Pelodiscus sinensis: one gene and its partners. The main gene of each other region encodes a partner of the protein of the gene in region 2 in a complex. Links are inferred from orthologs where the notes say so. Each region holds a gene or a part of one and is shown on either strand. Other genes may lie near its edges.

What was found.
Region 1: the proteins of F7 (region 2) and POGLUT1 are in contact, whole or in part, in a crystal structure (PDB 5L0S), measured with the Homo sapiens proteins. The link is inferred for Pelodiscus sinensis from reciprocal best matches to the Homo sapiens genes F7 and POGLUT1. Residues at the interface, in NP_000122.1 of Homo sapiens: Asp108, Gln109, Cys110, Ala111, Ser112, Ser113, Pro114, Cys115, Gln116, Asn117, Gly118, Gly119, Cys121, Gln126, Ser127, Tyr128, Arg139, Asn140; in NP_689518.1 of Homo sapiens: Met103, Phe104, Pro105, Ser106, Arg107, Arg132, Asp133, Pro171, Ala172, Trp174, Pro178, Thr179, Thr214, Asn239, Gln240, Ala241, Val274.
Region 3: the proteins of F7 (region 2) and F3 are in contact, whole or in part, in a crystal structure (PDB 6R2W), measured with the Homo sapiens proteins. The link is inferred for Pelodiscus sinensis from reciprocal best matches to the Homo sapiens genes F7 and F3. Residues at the interface, in NP_000122.1 of Homo sapiens: Leu73, Lys78, Phe91, Arg96, Leu99, Phe100, Ser103, Ser120, Lys122, Gln124, Leu125, Ile129, Cys130, Phe131, Cys132, Leu133, Pro134, Phe136, Glu137, Gly138, Arg139, Lys145, Gln148, Ile150, Val152, Asn153, Glu154; in NP_001984.1 of Homo sapiens: Thr49, Asn50, Lys52, Ile54, Glu56, Trp77, Lys78, Ser79, Lys80, Phe82, Tyr83, Glu88, Asp90, Asp93, Gly141, Gln142, Thr144, Glu162, Arg163, Thr164, Leu165, Arg167, Phe172, Tyr188, Trp190, Lys191, Ser192, Ser194, Ser195, Gly196.

Annotation. Positions count from the first base shown.
Region 1 is NC_134711.1:163,011,507-163,019,238, reverse strand, and holds the start of POGLUT1 (protein O-glucosyltransferase 1), read left to right. Parts: upstream 1-4,709; 5' UTR 4,710-4,814; coding exon 4,815-4,893; intron 4,894-7,732. UniProt on the Homo sapiens protein: Dual specificity glycosyltransferase that catalyzes the transfer of glucose and xylose from UDP-glucose and UDP-xylose, respectively, to a serine residue found in the consensus sequence of C-X-S-X-P-C.
Region 2 is NC_134711.1:237,607,431-237,615,045, forward strand, and holds the start of F7 (coagulation factor VII), read right to left. Parts: upstream 3,099-7,615; 5' UTR 3,010-3,098; coding exon 2,940-3,009; intron 1-2,939. UniProt on the Homo sapiens protein: Initiates the extrinsic pathway of blood coagulation. Serine protease that circulates in the blood in a zymogen form. Factor VII is converted to factor VIIa by factor Xa, factor XIIa, factor IXa, or thrombin by minor proteolysis.
Region 3 is NC_134719.1:35,724,786-35,731,763, reverse strand, and holds the start of F3 (tissue factor), read left to right. Parts: upstream 1-3,885; 5' UTR 3,886-4,223; coding exon 4,224-4,311; intron 4,312-6,017; coding exon 6,018-6,132; intron 6,133-6,978. UniProt on the Homo sapiens protein: Initiates blood coagulation by forming a complex with circulating factor VII or VIIa. The [TF:VIIa] complex activates factors IX or X by specific limited proteolysis.

The DNA of each region.
Region 1 (7,732 bases), about 75 Mb from region 2:
ATCACAGTCAGTGGTTCCTCCCACAAAGCTCCAGGCTTAGGGGGAAATTGAAGAGAGGAGGTGAGGAGAAGTAAGCTTGGTGTTTGAAATGAGAATGAAGGGATTCCGATTAAGCTCCTAGCCAAATCACTTTGGGAAGGCTCCAAGCTTAAGCAAAGCTGCATATTCCAAAAGCAAACACCACTGGCCCGGGGTACTTTCATTACAGAAGACCAGGAGAGAGAGAAGAAAGGAAGGAAAGAGAGAGAGAGAGAGAATTACTAGGTTCACAGGAGTTTCATCTCAAACTTGACCATGAAGGTGAATTTACATCAAATAAGCTGGGCCCTAGAAAGACTTAGTGGCTATTGACCGTTTCTGCTGGCTACATCTCCTACTGTCTGCCTCAGAAAGAGCACTGCAAATAATAATCTTCAGCTGTACAGTACTACAATCCGACTGGCTGTGCAGCAGGTTGGCATGCAAACTACAAGAGGTAACCACAAAGAGAAAATTGACATTGACCCAGGACAATGAGTAGGGTATCAGAGACCCCAATGGGGAAATATGTTCTGAAACTTGAAATGGGAGACAAGCAGAGAACAACACTATTACAGTAATAGTAATAGCGGATCAGGTATGTAGAAAGGCCCAGAGTGACACAGGAGGTCTAAGGCAACTTCACAAGTTACAAAGATGTAAGGCATTCATGTTATGGTTACTTACTCAAGCTTTTGTAAGATTTACAAGAGTAGCCAACACAATTTATAGGCAGCAGGTATAAAACAAATATAGAGAAATACTTCACAAAATGCACAGTCAACCTGTGGAGCTCATTGCCAGGGTATGTTGTGAAAGCCAGAACTATAACAGGATTTTAAAAAGAATGAGATAGGTTCATAAGGATAGAATAGGACTATTAGCCAAGATGGTCAGAGATGCTAGCTTCTGTTCTGGATGCTGAGACTGGATGACAGGGGATGGATCACTTGACCGTTGCCTTAATCAGTTCATTCCCTTTGAAGCAACTGGCATCGGCTACTGTTGGTAGACAGGACACTGGGCTAGGTGGAGCTTTGGTCAGACCTAGTATGATCATTCTTATGTTCTTAATTTTAGAACTATTCATATCACTTGCACAGATGCAGCATTGTACCCTTAGAACAGGAACAGAACAATAGATTCTGTTTATGCAGAAAGCAATAAGGCTGCTTCTGACAACCACCACTGAAAGGAGCTGATATTTTCCTCTTTTTTGGGGGGGGAGGCTAATATGGGGTAAGAAGAGTTTGGGACCAGCATATGAGAAATGCCTTGGATTTTCCAATTTCTCACTATAGGTAGTGTTACCACTTTTGACCTAAGAAGCTAGTCACAATTTGGGCCCTACAGGTGTTCCCATTTGGAAGAGAAATCTGCAATGGGTCCAGGTATCTTTAATGCAATCTTGTTTGTTTATAGAGAATGTACAATGTTCTGTTTCCCTGAACACAAGATGAGCCAAACATCAGGAGAGCCTCGCAGTCCTATATTTCTTTTAGCCAGCAACTGGCCCCAAAGCTCTCTCTCTCTAAGCTTTTCCAGGATGACATATTAAGTGCTTGTTCAGGGCATTACTGATTCTGCCTTCTCTCTCAGCTTCTCTGTAGTTTCTTAGAAATCAGATGAGATCAGTGTCAGAGATGCCCGGGTTTTTTTTGGGGGGGGGGAGGGGGGAATTACAAAGCAAAAGGAAAATAAAGAAAAAGCTTGTTGTCTGTACCTATAATTTTCAGACAAGACCCCCAGGACAGCTCACCTCCTTCCAAGCTTTCCTGTCGGCATAGTAGCATCTTCAGTAAAGTGATACAGTGGCCTAGCTGTTCCACTGCCGCACTGTACATGAAGTCAAGACCTAAGACCAGAAAGGACCAATGTGATCATCTAGTCTGACCTCCTACATAACACAAGCTAGAGAACACCGAGATATTATTATGATATGCTTATGGCATAATTATGATGTATTTTATTCAGTATAGGCCATGTGAGGTATCATTGAAAAGGTTATGATTTGCTGAATATGATTATCCTATTTGTTCTGGTATCCTGGAAAAACACCCCAGTCTAGAGGTACCCTAAGTCATATCCATTATCAAGTTTGTGCTCCTCATATGGGTACTTAGGGTACATCTACACAATAGTGTTATTTCAGAATAACTGATGTTATTCCAAAATAACATAGTCCGCATCTAAACTATAATAATGTTGAAATAATGGCGAACTGGAGGACTACTTATGCTGACTCCTGTAACCCTTATTTTATGAGGCATAAAAGAAGTCAGAGGAAGAGTGCTCTGCCTCAGACTTCTTGCTGTGTAGATAGCATCAATAGCCAAAATAAGCTATTTTGGCTTAGGCTACACAATAGACATTGCTGAAGTTGCGTAGCTTATTTCAGATTTAGCCCTGCTGTGTATCATGCCCTATAGACTGAATGAGTCATAAAAACATAGGAACAGCCATCCAGGATCAGACCAAAGGTCCATCTAGCCCAGTATCCTGTCTTCCGAGAGTGGCCAATGCCAGATGCCTCACAGGGAGTGGACAGAACAGGAAATCTTCAAATGATCTCTTTCCTGTCATCCATTTCCAGGCACTTACTGACAAACAGAGGCTAGGGACACCATTCCTACCTATCCTGGCCATTGATGGACCTAACCTCCATGAATTTATCTAGTTCTTTTTTTAACCCTGTTCAAGTCCTGGTCTTCACAAAATCCCCTGGCAAGGAGTTCCACAAGTTGTCTGTGTGCTGCATGAAGAAAAACTTCTTTTTGTTTGTTTTAAACCTGCTACCTATTAATTTCATTTGGGGACCTCTAGTTCTTGCGTTCTGGGAACAAGTAAATAACTTTTCCTTATTCACTTTTTTCCACGCAAGTCATGATTTTACAGACCTCTATCATATCCTCCCTTCGTCTCCTGTTTCTCTAAGCTAAAAAGTCCCAGGCTTTTTAATCTCTCTTCATATGGAACCTATTCCAAACCCCTCATCATTTTTGTTGCCTGTTTCTGAAACTTTTCCACTGCAAATATGCCTTTTTTGAGATGAGGCCACCATATCTGTATACAGTATTCAAGATGCGGGTGTACCATCGTTTTATATAGGCACAATAAGATAAGAGTCTTATTCTCTATCCTTTTTAAATGATTTCTAACATTCTTTTTGCTTTTTGAACTGCTGCTGCTGCCCATTAAGTGGATGTTTTCAGAGGACTCTCCATAATGACTCCAAGATCTCGCTCTTGAGGGGTTATAGTTAAATTAGTACCCATCCTTTTGCATGTATAGTCGAGATTATTTTTCCAGCATGCATTCCTCTACATTTATCAATGTTACCTTTCATGTGCCATTTTGTTGCCCAATCACATAGTTTGGTGAGATCTTTTTGAAGCTGTTCACAGTCTGCTTTGGTCTTAACTATCCTGAGCAGTTTAGTATCATTTGCAAATTTTGCCACTTCACTGTTTACCCCTTTCCCCAGATCATTTATAAATAGGTTGAATAGGATTTGTCCCAGTACGGACCGTTGGGGAACACCGCTAGTTACCTCTCTCCATTCTGAAAACTTTGTATCCTGTCTTTTAAGTAGTAATCAGTCCATGAGAGTACCTTCCCTCTGATCCCATGACAACTTCCGTGACTTAAGAGCCTTTGGTGAGGGACCTTGTCAAAAGCTTTCTAAAATCTAAATCCACTATATCCACTGGTTCCCCCTTGTCCAAAGGTTTGTTGACTCCCCTCAAAGCACTCTTGTAGATTTGTAAGGCGTGATTTTCCTTTACAGAAACCATGTTGACTTTCTCCCAACATCAGTCTGACAATTTAATTCCTGACCATAGCTTCAACTAATTTGCCCGGTACTGATGTTAGACTTACTGGTCTGTAATTACCAGAATCACCTTTAGAGCCCTTTTTAAATATTGGCATCACATTAGCTATCTTCCAGTCATTAGGTACAGAAGCTGATTAAACGACAGATTACCAACCACAGTTAATAGTTCCACAATTTCACATTTGAGTTCTTTTGGAAATCTTGGGTGAATGCCATTTAGTCCGGGTGTATTGCCCCTTAACCATCTCTTTTTTAAGCTACATTGATTGAGCTTTCAGAGTCACTATCAAGCAGGTTTTAAATCCTTTCATCATTCTTGTAGCTCGTCTCTGAACGTTTTCTGATTTATCAACTTCCTTTTCCAATTACTGATAGCATTATTCCAGCAATGGTAGCACTAATGCTCTGGCCAGGGAGTGCTGAGACCCAGCTTCTAGCAAGAGACCCACTCAGCCCTGGCTGCTGCACCCCCTGGCTTGAAGTTATTTCTATCCCACAGGGTTTAGAGCTGGGCTCAATGGCTCACCGCACCTCCTACTCACCCCACTGGTGGTGTTCACATTCCTAGTGTCGACAGCCAGACCAGCTGGCTTGGTGAGCAGCCCAGGGGCCTCAGGGCTGGGGCCACCCCACAGTTGCTCCTGGGCAGGGAGGGGCTGTGCTCCATATACTGAGCTGTGATGTGCCAACTCGGGCACTACAACTCCCATCAGGTAAAGCGAGTCGGTCCCGGATGTGGAATTGACTATAGCGGCGACCATCTTTGTGCGGGGCACCGTGTCCCTTTCTCCCCTGCGGTGGCGGCCATCTTTGTGCAGGGCGCTTCTTCCTCCCGCCCTTCTACATTTTTTTTTTCTTCTGAATCAGCTATCGGCCTGATGGAACGCAGAGGGGCCGGCTCGCCGCGCGCAGGCGCAGTGCGGGGGGGGGGGGCAGCGGCAGCTGTCCGCCGGGCTGCACAATGGGGCCGCTGGTGGCCTGGGCGCTGCGAGCGGCGGCTCTGTCCCAGCTCGTGCTCAGCCAGGGGAGCAGCGCTGCAGGTGAGAGGCTGCGACCGGGAGGGGCGGGGCGCGCTCCCCCACTCTCCTTCCCCCCGGCACTGGGGAGCGGGGTGTGTCTCCCGCCCCCCGAGCCCCGTCCCCCGCTGCAGCCTCCAGCGCCGCCTCTCCCTCGCTCAGCCCCACGTGTGCCGGGCCGAGCCCTCCCCAGCGCCTCTTGCCTCCTGCCCGGCTGGGACCCTGCTCCCGGGCCTGCGCCACCCTAGGCAACGCCGCCTTTGCGGCTGCCCCTGCCTCTTCTGTTTGGCTCAGCCTCCTGCTGGTCACTGCGCCCGCTCGCCCCTCTTCCTCCGAGTGACCCGCCCGCCCTGCGCAGATGCTCTCTGCAGCGGAGCGGCCCCGCGCTACCCCTAGCGTGGGAAACGGATGCAAACTCCCTGCGTCTTGTAGCCTGTTTGTACTTAGCTAGGGGCTGCAGAGATTAGCCCCCGGGCTTGCCTGTCCGGAGCTGGAAGTGGGGTTGGATGCGTGCGGGGCGTACAGCAGGGGCAGGCTGAGGGAGGCGGCCCTAGTGGGGCACTTAGCTTGCCTCAAAGACACCCTTTAGAACAGGGGTGCCCCAGAGAAAGCCTTGTTTGTTGGGCTTAGCATCCCGTGTTTTCCTGCACCTCTCGTATCTGCCTGGTTTTTTTCGTCTTTGAACCAACTTGTCACTAAAGAATGCAAACCAGGGTTTCTAGAAGCAGTTCTTTTGCTGGTGGAATGAGGGGGCTGTGTCTCAGTCTTATTTAATATGCAATATAAAAGGAGGCTATAAGCTCTTTGGGACAGGGACTGTTTACTGAAGGTTGTGTAGCACACATCATTAGAGCTCTCTGTGCTGATACAAAATTTGTATCCGCATCTACATCTGCAAAAATGAGCCACGGATATCCACATTTGTGGATGTGGATACCTGTGGCTATAAAGCGGATAGCTGTGGATTTGCAGGGCTCTCCACACTGTAACTCTATCTCTGGGTCTTTCTGTAATACAAACAAATTTTATATAGAGAACCTCCGCACAGCACCTGATTATTAAAAAAAAACACTTTGTCCACTGCTGAAGGGCAGTTATCTGAAGTGGAGTAAGCCAGTTGTTCAACAGCACACAGTAACGTTAAAGGAGAACTTAGGACAGGAGATGAATGTTACTATAGCTAAATGAAGCTAGAGTGGAACAGAAGTAGGTGAATGTTAAATCACCCAAATTCCCATTTATCTCACACACAGACATAACTCTCTATAAGTATAGGGGATATATCATGGGACAGAAGCTGTCAACCTTTTTCTTGTTAAGGCTCCCCTGAACATGCTATAAAAACTGAGGATGTTAAAATGTATTTATTGAAAATGTCATCTGTTACGCATTCACATGCCGGGGTGGGAGGGAGCTGGCTTTTAAGCTGGCTCACCACACATGCTGACTTTGTGCCTGCCCACCCACCCCCTCTGCAGCATGAGGGTGGGGGGGGGGGGATTGTGTATGATTGTGAAGGTTAATCAATGAGCCCAGGTTCATCAATTAACCATGGACACATTTATACTTTCACATGCCTAATAAAAACTCTAGAGCTTTGGGGCTCTGGGCTGAGGGGCAAGACCCTTGCTCATAGGAATAGTTTTAATTTTTTGGAGAGGGGATAAGGGCTGCTGGTGGTTGGGCCAGCTCTGCACAGGGGAGCCAGGGAAGAAGTGCCACTGAGTTGTGGAAGGAAACAACCAAAATTATAACTCAAAGTGTGTGTGGGGAGAAGGTGGGGGGAGAGAGAAATTCAGCTCAGAAATTTTGAAAACTGCTCAGGGTGCAGGCTGGGGTTAGCTAGGAGCTGTGTACTGGTATGGGGATAGTTAAGGGTGAAGGCAGGGGAATAGGTTTGGCAGAGAGGTAGCTAAGGGTGCAGGCAGAGGTGAGGGCTTCCAATGTAGTTCCCAGTTTAAATGGGGGCAGGAGCGCTGGAGTGGCTAACGTGAGGACGGGGGAGTGGGAGGCTGGTTTCTGCCTTGTGCTGCACCTGTGGGACACTGTAGCACAAGGCACCAGGTTTCAACCTCAGGGTGCTGCGGTCTCCCTGAAAGGGCTCACAGGCTCTGAGTTGAGAACTACTGCCATGGGATCTTACAGGCTGTGAATTGTCAGGAATACTCCTCCTCCCATCCCATCCCCCTAGGGTTGCCAGGTTTCCGGTTTTCTACCAGACAGTCCGGTTTTTGTGCCCTCTGTCTGGTAAAAAAAAATTCAGAAAATACTGGACTGTGCAATGTCTGGTATTTTCTGTTTTTCTGGCTGGGCGCCGGACGGAAGCCTGGCAGGGGCGGGGGGAGTGGCTGGGAGGCGGGGCTGCGATCGGCGCTTGGAGCCTGTGGTCGCGTGCAAAAGCCTGGCGGGGGTGGGGGGAGTGGCTGGGAGTCCTGGCCACTCCCCCAGCCCCCACCAGGATTCTGCACACAACCAGAGGGAGTCCCAGGCTGGGAGGCGGAGCCGTGATCTGGTTGCATGCAGAAGCCTGGTGGGGCACAATTGGTGCTGGGAGCCCTCAGCAGATTGCATCTGGGGAGGAGGAGAAGCCCTGTCCCTGCTCCTGAGCGCTGTTCAATTGCATTGTGGTGCGGGGAGAGAAGCCCTGAGGTGCTTTATAATTGCGTTTAGGCGCCTTCCATGGACTCTCAGCCAAAACTGACTGGGGTGGAATTTCTGCTTCTTCCCATTGGGACACCCAAAGACCTGGCTATGGGGGAGTCATCTTCCTGCCTTGAGGGCGGGGGGCTGGACTCGATGACCTCTCGAGGTCCCTTCCAGTCCTATTATTCTATGATTTATTCTATGATTCCTACCCATGGTC
Region 2 (7,615 bases):
GGCTGGAGCTGGAAGGGGTGAGCAGCTGGGTCGCTGAGCCACTTACTCTAGCTGCAGTGAGCAGAGCAACAATTGGCCCTGGGGTGGGGGTGCTGTGCAGGCAGGGAGAGCAGCCCTGGGCCCTACCCTGTGGGATAGGGTCTGGGGGTGCAATGCCAGCACATGGTGGGTTGGTGGAGGGGAGGCGTAGCACTCCCTGCTTTCAGTGCCTTCCCTGAGGGACAGCTCCCAGTCTCCTCAGCCAGGGCAGCTCCCCGCAGTGCCCTGCCCTCCCCCACGTGAGGGAAGCTCCCAGAACCACATCCCCCATCCTAGGGCTGCAGCTGGGGACAATGCTGGCTCAGCTTTGCCCAGCCACAAGGGACAAGAGAGCAGCCCAGCTCCCTGGGCTGATCCCACTGAGGCAGAGCTGGGACCCTAGAGCCTCCCAGATCTAGTGTCTGTCACAGGGTTTATTTATTGTAACAATCACTCCCATGTGGCAGCCAGATGCTGCTCTAGGGAATAAGTTAGCCAAGTGTGGAATGGAGGCTGCACCTTAGAATCATAGAATAATAGGACTGGAAGGGACCTCGAGGGGTCATCGAGTCCAGCCCCCCGCCCCCAAGGCAGGACCAAGCTCCGTCTACACCATCCCTGACAGATGTCTATCTAACCTGTTCTTAAATATCTCCAGAGAGGGAGATTCCACCACCTCCCTTGGCAATTTATTCCAATATTTGACCACCCTGACGGTTAGGAATTTTTTCCTAATGTCCAATCTAAACCTCCCCTGCTGCACTTTAAGCCCATTACTCCTTGTCCTGTCCTCAGAAACCAAGAGGAACAAAATTTTCTCCTTCCTCCTTGTGACACCCTTTTAGATATTTGAAAACCGCTATCATGTCCCCCCTTAATCTTCTTTTTTCCAAACTAAACAAGACCAGTTCATGAAGCCTGGCTTCATAGGTCATGTTCTTTAAACCTTTAATCATTTTTGTCGCTCTTCTCTGTACCCTTTCCAATTTCTCCACATCTTTCTTGAAATGTGGCGCCCAGAACTGGACACAATACTCCAGCTGAGGCCTAACTAGTGCAGAGTAGAGCGGCAGAATGACTTCACGAGTTTTGCTTACAACACACCTGTTGACACAACCTAGAATCATATTTGCTTTTTTTGCAACAGCATCACACTGTTGACTCATATTCAACTTGTGGTCCACTATGACCCCTAGATCCCTTTCCGCCATGCTCCTTCCTAGACAGTCGCTTCCCATCTTGTATGTATGGAACTGATTGTTCCTTCCTAAGTGGAGCACTTTGCATTTCTCTTTATTAAACCCCATCCTGTTTACCTCTGACCATTTCTCTAACTTGCTAAGGTCATTTTGAATTATGTCCCTATCCTCCAAAGAAGTTGCAACCCCACCCAGTTTGGTATCATCTGCAAACTTAATAAGCATACTCTCTATCCCAATATCTACATCATTGATGAAGATATTGAACAGTACGGGTCCCAAAACAGACCCTTGCGGAACTCCACTTGTTATCCCTTTCCAGCAGGATTTAGCACCGTTAACAACTCTCTGACTACGGTTATCCAGCCAATTATGCACCCACCTTATCGTGGCCCTATCTAAGTTATATTTGCGAGGGAGGGAGTTGGGCAGGCTGGCTAGGACCTAGCCGACTGGCACCTGGATGACACACTCCAGTGGTTCCAGTGCTCTCAGCAGGTGAGAGTGCACTGTGTGCGCAGACAGTGTGAGGTGGTGGTGGAGCAGCGGGTCCTTCATGGACAAGATGGCTGCCAGGTCTGCTTTTGCCCCACTCCTGCACCAGGCCAACCTGAGTGGCGTCTACCATCGCAATGACATTTATTAGCATTTATTAATGCTGGTAACTGATAATAAACTGATAATAAATAATGCAACTCAGTGATGTATTTCTGAATCTTGACATAGTAGACTGTAAAAAAAACAATCATTCTACGAGGTGAACAATGTCCTACCATATATTAATTAGTTGATTCTGAAGCCTAGTGATGACAATTTTACTTCTGAGCATTTTGACAGAAACATTCAACTGCTCTGGGATGGTGGGTAAAGCTGGGGATAGAAGATGGAGCTTGAGCAGAGTAGTCCCAAAATGTTTCCTCTCCAACATAATTCCCAATGGAAAATGAACAGTCTTCCATTTGGAGGTATCTCTGCCAGGCAGTGCCCAGCCACACTGATAGGAGGGGGGTTTGGAAGTTTACTCCACTCATACTTGTACTAGAGTATTTCTGTTCCTAGATTACCAGCCACCAAATTATCATTAACATATATATATTTAAAAACATAAAAGGGATTACTGTAGATGGCTTCCATGATAATTACGTCTGTATACGTATTTACTATAGTACACACAGTGCAATGTCTTTTTCTTATGCTCATATCAAGTTTCATCCTTTCATTTTGTTGAATACCGATATTTTTAATTTTTTGCAATTGCTTTCTTACTTCACTTGTCCTCATTAACTTACTGAAGGGAAGAGAATCTAAGGGCACCACCATTCTATAGCTAAAAAGGTATACGGAAATCTTCGTAGAATTGTATTTTTTTTATTGTTGATCAAGTCTTGGTGGGGAGGGGGGAAGGGTGTCACTCTGTGGATTGACTGAGCTCTATGATTACTAGTGCCCTTTGGTTCCCTGGGAGCGGATTCTGGTGCACATATTGAGATAACTTATTCATCTATGAGCCTAGCAGGAATTTTTCCCAATTGATACAGTAAGAGCATGAACACAATTGCCACCCAAAACAACGAGCTCATTAGAACACCTGAACAGACTTAGACACATTCATTAGGAATCGTTCTGTACAGCCATTGCTGTGGATGATCCAACACGCCTCAAGAATCATGTGATTAACAAAGCAATAAATAATGATCATTACAGCAGTTTCCTGAGACATACCTGTAGCCAGAAAAAGAGGTAGCAATAGCATAAAGCAGAGAAGCAAAACCACGTAGTTACTGGAAGCCATGATGAAACAGAAATGCCAGTGTCCCAATATCTTGCAGCCCTTGCTGAAATGTCAACATGGTGAAAGCTCTCTATTTCAAAGGCTTTGACCTGGAGGAGGAGTTGGGTAGTCATTAAACACAGAGAGCTAAACCCCATGCAAATAATTCTATTCGTGCAGAAACGTACCAACTAATCCCCTACATGGTCTTAAAAAACAGGCAAAAATCTTAGTTGAGAAGAATTCCCATTCATAGTGCCCAAAGGCTATACTGAACATTATGAATGTTGTAGTGTGTTCTTACTAACAGCACAGCATACTATTAAATGTGGACTATGAGTGCCAAATTACAGCCTGGATAGCATGCCATTACATTTTGTATGTCGCCACCCCCAATTCACAGATGAATCAGAACTCCAAGATTAGGTGATGGGGGGGAGGGAGGGTCAAGGTAAAGATCTGGAGTATCTTTGAAGGGGATCACATTATTGAGGTTTTCAAATGTATCATGTTGCTTTCCTTTGTGGTCCCCAGTGGGAACCCTGAACCACTGTCTGATTTTATATTGCGACACCAATTAACAAACAAGGAATACCAGGTTCCGCTTTGGACTCATTTTGCTGCAGTGAAGGAGCTGTGTACTTTATCACCATGGACTTCTACACAAAGGGCTTGCAGTGTATTGGAAAGAAAAGAATGGAGCAAAATTTCATTTAATTAATAATTGTAGTAGTTTGACCAAATTGACAGCTAAAGTTATATCTGGAATATAAGCATTCCTATGTATTCATGTCTATCAAGGGCTAATTGTATCAGAACACATAATTTACAACATTCTTAAGCAAAGATTTGACTAATATCAGCAAGGTTAGATGCAATGATTTATCAATGGGGATTGGAGCATTCCATAGGGCCTGGGGTATTTTCCAGTCAATTCTTCACTTCATTAGGTTAAAAGAAAGCAGCTGCTTTGTGCACATCAGAACAATGAAGGGAAGCACAATTTTTATACTATTGCCAGGCTTCATCATCATCATCTCCTCCCTGCTGAAGTCATAAGTGACTATCAAAGAATCAGTCTCTGTCACCTGAGAAATCAAAGAGTCCTGCCCATCTAGATGTATTATTTACACGGTTCTTGTAACTCACACTTTATGTGCGGTGATGTACATCCTTTTTGGACATCTGGTTTACAATATGGAAAAACTGACCTTTTGGGGCATCTTTTATTTATTGGACTCTGGCTAATTCCCAGAAAACTCATTTCCTGGAATTTTCAGAGGCTAATGGTGGGAACTGTTACAGGAAAGAGGGAAGGAGTATGACTGCTGGAGAACACAAGACACTATAACAATGAATGAGTCTCAAAATATTCCGCGCCTCTGCTATTGGAAATCCCCATTTGTACCTTGGCTTATCCTCACCTAACCCTAAACCCACCCCCACCTTGCCCTCTCCTTTAGCTTGGAGCTAGCTGGGGGATGGGGGACTGTGATAGGCATTCAGAGGAAAAACCACCTGGAGAAGTGATGATCTGCAGAGAAATGAGGCTACTGGCAGAAGCAAGGCAAGTGAAGAGTAGGAAATGGGGTGGGAAGCTCTGCTACTCAGCAGGGAGGTTTCTGGGGGATCTTGGGGTGAATAGACAAGGTGGGAGGGGTCCTGTATTCAAGGAAAGAGACAAGGGGATGAGGGGAGGAGGACAAACTGGGAAGGAAATCTGTCTCCACTGACCATGGGGAAGGGGATAGGAGCAGAGACTGCAACTATGGCTACATCAAGACGACACGCCTTTTTCGAAAGAGGCTTTTTTGAAAGATACTTTTGAAAAAGCCTCTTTCGAAAAAGAGCATCTAGACTACAACCAGTACTTTCAAAAAAGCAAGCCGCAGTCTGGATGCTCTCTTTCAAAAAAGCACAGTTTGCATTACATAGTGCCTATTTTGAAAGAACACTTTCAAAAAAAGGCATTATTCCTTGTAAAACGAGGTTTTTTGCAGTCCACAAAACTGCTGTGTTTTGATTTACTGTTGACAGAACGTGGCAGCAGTCTAGACACAGGTAAAGTTTTTTCAAAAAATTCCTAGACACACCCATACATTTTTTGTTTGCAGCTCTGAGTGAGGAACAGCAAGACAATACTGTAGCTTTTCAAAGAGTTCAGATAAGAATATATTTGTCAGAGCCACACTGCAATTTTTCTTATCTTATCTTCTTAGAACAGAAAAGCCACTGTCCTGTCTGAGGGAGTCTCTTCCTGTTATGCAAGTGAGAGCATAGGGCCACGTGTCTGACATTTCTTTATCTACCACCACATTCAGTGGCTTTTTTTTTAAACTTCTTTGACTCACCCTATACAAGGGATGGCACTTACACACACACAAAAAAACCCTTTGGATAAGAATTTATTACTATGTCTGGAGCGCTTGCTTGGTGCCACGTTTAGTCTTGTTCCTAAATCTCCGTAAGGGGCCAGCTGGAAGAAAAGACAGATGTTTGGATACATGGCAGACGCCTAACACTTTTACTTTTAAAAAAACCTAGCTTCAGCAACAAGCATTTCCATGTACTTGTGTTCTAAGACTATGGATTTCCATCTACTTTATTTGACTTCTAAATCAGATTTTGTTCCCAAACCCTCCTAATTACATCAATCATACAATGGTATTACACTGCTGTTGTACATTCTGTGTGATTCATATGACATTTTACATTTCCGCCCTCTCATTTTATTGGTATCTCAAACCTGTGAGGTTCTGATTTAACAGTTTGTTTGTGATTGCAATACAAATATTATGGAAGGGAAGCCCCAGGAGTGAGAATCTAGGAAATATACGAGTCATGTAGTGAAACACTTCATTCAAAGAAATACTGGTGTAATTAGGCTGAGGGGTGATGACACTGGTAGGCATCACTAGAAGAGCAAGTATTAAAAAGAGCACCAATGAAGTTTCCCATGGGACTTTCCTCCTAATTAGCTTCAGAGTCACAGACTCCTTTCCTAAGTTGTTGCCTAGCCAGCCCTGGCAACAAAGCCAGCCCTGGCAACTTACCTTGAAGAGCTGCATTACTTACAGTATAAATTATTTTCCCTCTTTTTAGGACCTGGGCCAGCAGCATCCAAACCAACCCCTCTGCGTTTTCTGTTTCAGAGAATTCCTAATCCCAAGTGTTCACCCCTCTTTTTAGTGACTAAGTGCATCTAGACCTAAAAGCATGTCCACATTGAGTGGACCCTGAACCGAGGTTAAGGATGGCCGGAAGCAGTGCCGGCAGGGCATCAGATTAGGACTTAGAGTGTGGAGCTGCTGTCTCAGGCTAGCCGAGGGCTGTGCTTAAAGGTCCCGACCCCCACCCAGGACAGACAGTTCTCAGGGGTTCCCCGCTTGCAAAGCAGTCCTGGCTTGGAGTGCCCTGAGTGCCCACACACGGCACATCACAGCACTCAGCCATCAGCCTGGCTGCACTTGCCGCAGGCTGCCATCCGGGAGGGGTCAATCGGGGGGCTGCAGGAGAGTTTCCACCCCGAGGAGCCCACAGAGCCACCCCAGTCCTCCTCATCGGGGGCTCGTACCCCATTCCTCCCTCACCTCCTTCCACTTAACTATCCCTAGCCCCCCTTCCTGATGTACAAATTAAAGGACACGTGTGGTCAAAAGTAGAAACTCTCTTTATTGAACAAAACTGGGGGAGACTGGGAAAAGGAGGTGGGAGAGGGGAAGAGAGAGGCTGGGAGAGGGGAGGGCAACCAAAATGATCAGGGGTTTGGAACAGGTCCCATATGAAGAGAAGCTAAAGAGACTGGTACTTCTCAGCTTAGAAAAGAGGAGACTGAGGGGGGATATGATAGAGGTCTGTAAAAGCATGAGTGGTGTGGAGAGGGTGCATCAAGAAAAGTTCTTCATTAGTTCCCATAATAGAAGGACTAGAGGACACCAAATGAAATGAATGGGTAGCAGGCTTCAAACTAATAACAGAAAGTTCTTCTTCACAAAGCAAATAGTCAACCTGTGGAACTCCTTGCTGCAGGAGGCTCTGAAGGCTAGAACTATAATAGAGTTTAAAGAGAAGTTAGATAAAGTCATGGAGGTTGGCTCCATGTAGTGGTATTAGCCAGGGGGTAGAAATGGTGTCCCTGGCCTCTGTTTGTGGAAGGCTGGAGATGGATGGCACGAGACAAATGGCTTGGTCATTGTCTTCGGTCCATCCCCTCCAGGGTACCTAGTGTTGGCCACTGTTGGCAAACAGGCTACTGGGCTAGATGGACCTTTGTTCTGACCCAGTACGGCCGTTCTAAGCTCAGGGCTCAGGGTCGGGGGTCTCACTGGACCACCCTGATTTTCATGCAAACCTGCTCCTGGGTGGCCAGGCTGGCAGCTATCCTGCCCTAGATGGCCACTTTCCTGTGCCTAGTGCGGATGTCGTGGATGAGGTCCACGATGTCCGCACTAGACCAGGTGGGCGCCCGCCTCTTGCGGACCCGGGCAGGCTGGGTGGGACCCGGGCAGGAAGAGGCGGAGGGCTGGGTGGCAGCGGATGGCTTGTTCGTGCCGTGCCAGGTGCAAGGTCACCGTAGCCAGCCCATGCCCCTTTAAGGGCTCCGGGGCCGGGAGGGGGGCAGAAGAGT
Region 3 (6,978 bases), on a different chromosome or scaffold from region 2:
ATTCTTATGTTCTTACTTTTAATTCTTTATAGAAAAACTGTAAGGAAATAAAAATGAAAATAAAATTCTAGAGCATAAAAGCTTTACATAAATGGCTCTTCTCTGTAACCAAAGGGGAAAGATTTCTCCATATAAAGCTCTCTTTAAATGAAGAAACACAGACTGCAGAATTCACAAGGTCATTATCTTGTCATCAAAATATTTACTGCAGAAGACAATCTAATCCCACATATAAAATAAGATTGTTATATAAAGAATGAAAACTTTCTGCTGGAAAAGTGCAGCTGCATAACGGCATACAATACTGAAATTTAATCTAAAGCAGTGAAGAAAAATTAGAAATTGTGTGGCATATACTGAACCATGATGCAACAAAGGGTTGAATTTAGCTTGGCCTTAAATATTATTTTTAAATGACAAAACAGAACTGACGCTTTAAAAGATTTAATGTGCTGAGCCTGCCAGTAAATGGCAATTAAAACTAATGTGTTTTGTAAACATACAGATACTGACCTGCCCATTCTTCTTGCCATCCTTTTTTCTCCCCTCTTTCTCCTACAGACTCCAAGCACTGGACTTTGTCAAATTCAACTTTGATTCCAGAGGAACAGTCAGCTTCATGCCACAACATATACATGCACATACCCCCTCTCATTTTATAGCTTTTTCTATACATAGCGTTGCTGCTATTTGACATTTAGTTGGCACTTTTCAGATCACCAAATATATACAATAGTGAAATACCACAGGCTAAAAGGTCATGCAGACTATTGGAAGGTGGCATGCAGGGAGGAAAGTGCAACAGGGTGTCTAGTAATCACATGCAGCCTAAAGAATTTCTGATTTTTTTAAGTGAGACTAAGAAGTCCTAATAAAGAAAGAGATGGAGAGAAAAGAAGTCAGGGCAATGCAGTGGGGAGATGGATGGGCTTGTGGTTAGGGCTCTAGATGGGGATTCAGAAGATTTTGGTAAAAAGGCTACAGACTTCTTACATAGTTTTGTGCTAGTTACTTATCTTCTCAGCACCTCACCTTTAAAACTGCTATAATATGTTCTTTCTTTACAATGTTATTATTATGACAATAACTCCAGAAACACTTGAGACGTATTCAAATACTATGGTGACGAATGATCCATGTCACATTATCATCACAGGAATGCAAGAGAGTATGCACAGAAACAGGGATGCTGAACCAATTTGCTAGCGGGAATGCTGAGAGCCTCTGAACCAAACCATGAACTCTTCAGATAATGGAACCCCCATTCAAGGCAGAGGGTAGGTGCAGAAGCATTTCCAGAACCCTTAGTTCCAGAACTTACGCACAGACATTCACCTTCAAAAGTTACACATTTCTAATTTGCTGAACAAAAAACAATTCCTCTAGTTTTGCTGATAATTTATTTGGGCAAGAAATTATTTCCAATAGATGGCATTGGTACACACTAACAAATTAGGGATGTTAAAATTAGATTAATCAACTAATCAAATAGTCAATAGAATTTCCATTGACTATTTGATTAGTCGATAAGGGTACTTCCGCTTTGAAATGTAGCAGGAGTCTGCACAGCTGTTGCTACATTTCAAATGTGGAAATGCTGCAGGGAGTTCTGCCTTTGAAATATACAAGAACCCATGGGGGGGGACTCTTGTACATTTCAAAGGTGGAACGCCACTGCTGCATCCCTGCCCCCTCCCATGGAGCTGGAACTGGGGGGAACCTGCTTTTAAGCCAGCTCCCTCCAGAGGCCTCTCCTGTTCCCTCCCCTTGCTGCCTCTTTCTGATAGAGGCAGCAAGGGGGGTGGGAAGTGACTAGTTGACTAGTGTGTCAACTATCCAATAAGCTTTTGCTTATCGGATAGTCAACTAGTCGCTAACAGCCTCTCCCCCAGTTACGAACGAGTTACGGACCGAACACTTGGCCATAACTCGATTTGTTTGTAACTTGGACCCCATTGAGTTACATAGCAACCGCACTGTTCGTAAGCGCGTGTTGCGTTCGTAACTCAGGGACCGCCTTTACAACCGCTCTATGGGAGCTTTGGTCATAAATGTGAACTGTCGTAACTCAACCGTTCGCAACTCAGGGACCGTCTGTACATCCCTATAATGAATTCATTCCAAGTTGTGCACAGCCACAGAATAATGTCATGCAAACCATTTTCTCCAGTTTCATTTTAATGCAGTTTATACTTTCTGCATGTTTGAGTCTGGGGTTTGAATGGACCAAAAATCACAAAAACAGTGAGTAGACCTGTGGCACTTTAGAAACTAACAAAAACATATAGTATCATGAGTTTTCATGGTCAAGATCCACTTCATCAGATGCTCACGTTTTGTTAGTCTCTAAGATGCCACAGGGCTATTATTTTTTTATAGTTACAAACATGGTTTGTAACTCTAATCACAAGAGGATATAAGAAAGAGGAGCAGATCTTTATACAGATATGAGCTACAGGATATATGACAGAGATCGTCAAACTGTGGCTTTGCAGCAACATGCAGCTCTTTTACTGTTAAAACGCAGCTCCTGGAGATCTTTCCCTGCCCCCCTTCACCGACCAGACTGGTTTGGTAGAGTGGGGGCTTTTGCCCATTGCCATGGGGAGAGGGTCCACAGCCCTGAGCCCTAGCAGGTGTGCCCTGCCTCACTATTATATGCAGCTCCCAGGGTCAGTAAGTTTGGCCACTCCAAAATATAACAAGAAAGATATTTCTACCACCTTGGAATCCAGGTACTAACTAGAAGAAAGAAAAAGTTAAAAAAACAAGGAATAGTCTTGCAGCACCATATAAGGGTATGTCTACACTTGCACCCTCTTTTGAGAGAGGGATGCAAATGAAGACATTTGAAATTGCAAATGAAGCCGGGATTTAAATATCCTGCACTTCATTTGCATAGTCGCGTTATGGCGCTATTTCAAAATAGCGCTATTTCGAAATAACAGACGCTGTTAAGACGCGGTTACTTTGAGAGAAAACCCTTCTCTCGAAATAACCCTTATTCCTCATACAGTGAGGTTTACCAATTATTTCAAGAGAAGGATTTTCTCTTGAAGTAACTGCGTCTGTTATTTTGAAATAGCGCTATTTCGAAATAGCGCCATAACGCAATTATGCAAATGAAGTGTGGGATATTTAAATCCTGGCTTCATTTGCAATTTCGAATGTCTTCATTTGCATCCCTCTATTGAAAGAGAGTGCAAGTGTAGACAAACCCTTAGGCTATGTCTAGACTGCAAGCCTCTTTCGAAAGAGGCTTTTTTGAAAGTATCTTTCAAAATAGCCTCTTTCAAAAAAGAACATCTAGACAACAAGCTTTTTCGAAAAAGCGGCTCACTTTTTTGAAAGAGAGTCTAGATGCTCTCTTTCGAAAAAGCGCTGTTTTAATGCAATAGCGCCCGAAAGATGACTTGCAGTAGTCTAGATGCAGGTACAGTTTTTTTTTTAACTTTTTTCCAAAAAAACCTGTAGTTTAGAGATCTTAGAGACTAATAAAACATGTAGGTGGTATCATGAGATTTCGTGGGCACAACCCACTTCTTCAGATGAACTCTTTCTTTAGAAGAAAGAAGACTGCAAAAACAGGCCTCTTCAAATTAACTCTTTTCTCCCCCTGCCCTTTTCTTTGAGGCCGCAAACACTATCTCTGCCCTCTCCCCCCACCCCATAGGATGGGCGCAGGAGCTAAACCACGATGACTGTGCCCCTCTCTAGAACGAAGGTGCTTGGGCGAAGAGGGGTCACCGAAGCGCGGGCTACAGGTTCCCCTGCGAGCCCAGCCTTGCTGAGGACCGAGCCCTCTGCTTGAGGCAGGCAGCTGGCCGGTCTAGAGCAGGGGAAGAGGCTGCGCAGCAGCTCCCCGGAAGGCGCCCTCTTCCGCCAGGCGAGGGAGAAGGGAAGAGCGGGGCAGGGGAGGAGTGTCCCTTCTCCCCCGCCAGGAGCCGGGCTTTTCACTTCTCTGCCGGTGAATAGGCAAAAAGTGAAACCGCTCCGGCCCCGCTCGCTCGCTCGTTCTGTTCCCCGGCACCTGGCCGAGGGGAGCGGCGGGGAGCTCCGCACCTCGGCGCGGGACTGAATCACCGCCAGTGACTCAGCCCCAGCCCTCCCCGTCTGCGCCACCCGGCTATAAAGAGCGTCAGTCCCGCCTCCCTGACAAACTTCGCTCGGACAGCGGCAGCGACCGTCCCCTGCAGGCACCTGGACTCGACGCGACGCGAGGGATGGCGAGCGCTTCGGACGCCTTATTCGCAGCCTGGGGCCGGGCGCTGCTCCTGGCCGCGCTGCTCTCCCGGCTGGGTCCCTGCGCAGGTGAGTGTCGCTGCCCAGCGCCGCCCGGTGCCTTCGCCCTCCCTGCCGGGCCAGCAGCTCAGCTGATGCGGCTCGCTCCCCGAGCCCGGGGGCAGTGCCCAGCGGGGCGCCCCGCGGGCCAGTCTGCCCCGCCGCGGAGGGGAGCGGTACAGAGACTTCTGGGGCGCGCCGCTTCCGCGGGGATGCTGTTGGGGTAAAGCCTGGGGGCAATGTCCGGCCCGAGCGCGGGCAGGCGGACGGAGAAACGAGGCTGTAGGAGGGGTTTCGAGGATAAAAGGCAACATCCAGGAGCCCTCCCTGGGAGCTGCACCTGGGCGCAAGAGCCGTGGCTGGCTTGAGGGCCATAACCCCGCGGCCGAAGGGGCGAGACTGGTGCCATCGGTGTGTCAGAATTCCCAGCGCCACCGGGGCTGGCACGTTTGGCTGGACTTGGGAGCTGTAGAGGTGGGGTCGTGCCGCAAATGGAGCCCGTGGCTCCAGGAAGTACCTATGGAATGAACAGGGCTCTGCTGAAACTTAGACTGACGACAGCAGAGCCCATGAGAGCACCAGGGGGGTTTGCCCATTTCCCTTTCTAGGGAAAGTTACATATTTTGCGCCTCTTTTTCTACAGTTCTAGATTCAAAATTAAGTTTCAGCGTTATAGTTGTTTATGGGTAGGTTGGAGACTGATCTTTTATGTTACTAAATGGTAAAGCGAAGGAGAGAAGGCAGGTAATACATTTATTAAGAATGATGTGCTGTTAGCACCAACATTTTACTGGAATTATTTGGAGTCTCGTTTCAATATCTCCACCTTGGACTGCTCTGATTTTTATATATATATATATATATTTTTTAAAAGCATATCAAATGAGTTATATACTTACAGAAGCAAGTGATATTCATACAAGGAAACAGATTATAAAAATTTTAAAACAATTATTTCCATTTTAATATAGTTGTGTGAGGAACGTATGACCTTTTAATGCACTACTCCCTGTGCTTTGACTAGTGTTGTAGGATTTTTCACATACTTCTAGTTCTTTAAACTGAATTTAGACTTCATTAAATTTATGATTGGAAATGTTGAAAATTAATACTAAAGTGTACAATATACATGCACTTTTTCGCTTTTATAAAACGAAATTTTGCAGTTATTTGGTGCACAGTTTACTTGTCTGTGTGCTTTTTAAAATAAGAAAAAAGTAAGTCAGATCTGCAATTGCTATGGTTGAGAATTCATCTGAATAAGAATCAGGAAACTCAGTTATTGGATTCTATACTATAAATTATTTTTACCTATACTGTATGTAATATATATGAATGGCAAATATGATGCAAAATCTCACATTTCTTTCAAGTCTTTACATGCTCATTATAAAATATGTGTGTTGGCTTAAACTGTAGTAAAACAACAGAAGCAAGCAAAATTCTGAACAGTTCCTAGATGCATCCAGTGGTCTTTCTGCACATTTGGGGCCAACTATGCTGTACTGCAAAAGATTTAGATCATCAAGTGGGAGGAGAGGAACTTTCTTCCCACATTTGCCAATAAAAAAAAGAATTTTCCATAGCAGAAGTAAAATGAATATGATGTCTGTGATTTTTTTTCTCCCCACAAACCATTATAAATAAAAATTTTACTTCTGCTAAATAGGGAATGTAATAAATCTAGAGCTCTATATAATGTGACTCATCACAACTTTTTTTTCCTGTCTTTAAAGGTAATTCAGAACTGCCAACAGCAGTTAATATAACTTGGTCATCAATCAATTTCAAAACAATACTACAGTGGCAACCCAAGCCAACTAACTATGTCTATACAGTAGAAATATCTGGGTAAGTAGATAAAATTATAAGTATGAGTGCCTGTACCCCTGCCCTTCTGTCCACTGGATTATAATGAATGGCAATTTTAAACAGACATTTGAGATCAAGACAGAAAAAGTATAGTCATGCTGGCAGAATGATTGAATATCTTGAATCTATTAATGTAATGCACAGAGTCCAAACATGGGAACTTTTAGGAAAGTTATGATCCCTATTTTGGGTTTTGGTTGCTTCCAAATGTATGTGTACCTGATTCCAGTCTCTGAGTCTGCTCATTGTAGAAATGAAATGTATGGATCAGATGCTGGCTCTGGGGTTTCAATACAGGCCACCTGGTACTGGAAAATTTGGCCAAAAATATTTTGCACCGGTTTAGAGCCCTTCATGAAGACTACATTTAAAAAAAATCATAGGTTTCATCTGTTAAAACAGGGGTTCTCAAACTTGTGATACCACTGCTGCATGATACCACCCTCTCAGTTGCTTGCGACCTCCCTCTAAGTTGCTTGCGACCCTCCAGAGGGTTGGGACCCACAGTTTGAGAAACACTGTGTTAAAACAATTCCCTCATTTTAATGCTGAGAGAAAGTAGTTGCAGACATCTCATAGATATGACTAATTTTATTCTAATTTAATGATTAATGCATTAGTTAAGTAGCTCAGTGCTATTTAGCCTTGCTGGGTAACTTTAAAAAATAATCTCTCCATCTAACTGCCTAAGCTTACTTCAGTTCATGGATTATAGAATTAATAAATGGTCTGGTAGCATTTGACTGGTAAAAACTCCAGTCATCTGAAGAAGTGGGCTGTGCCCACGAAAGCTCATGATACATCTACATGTTTTGTTAGTCTATA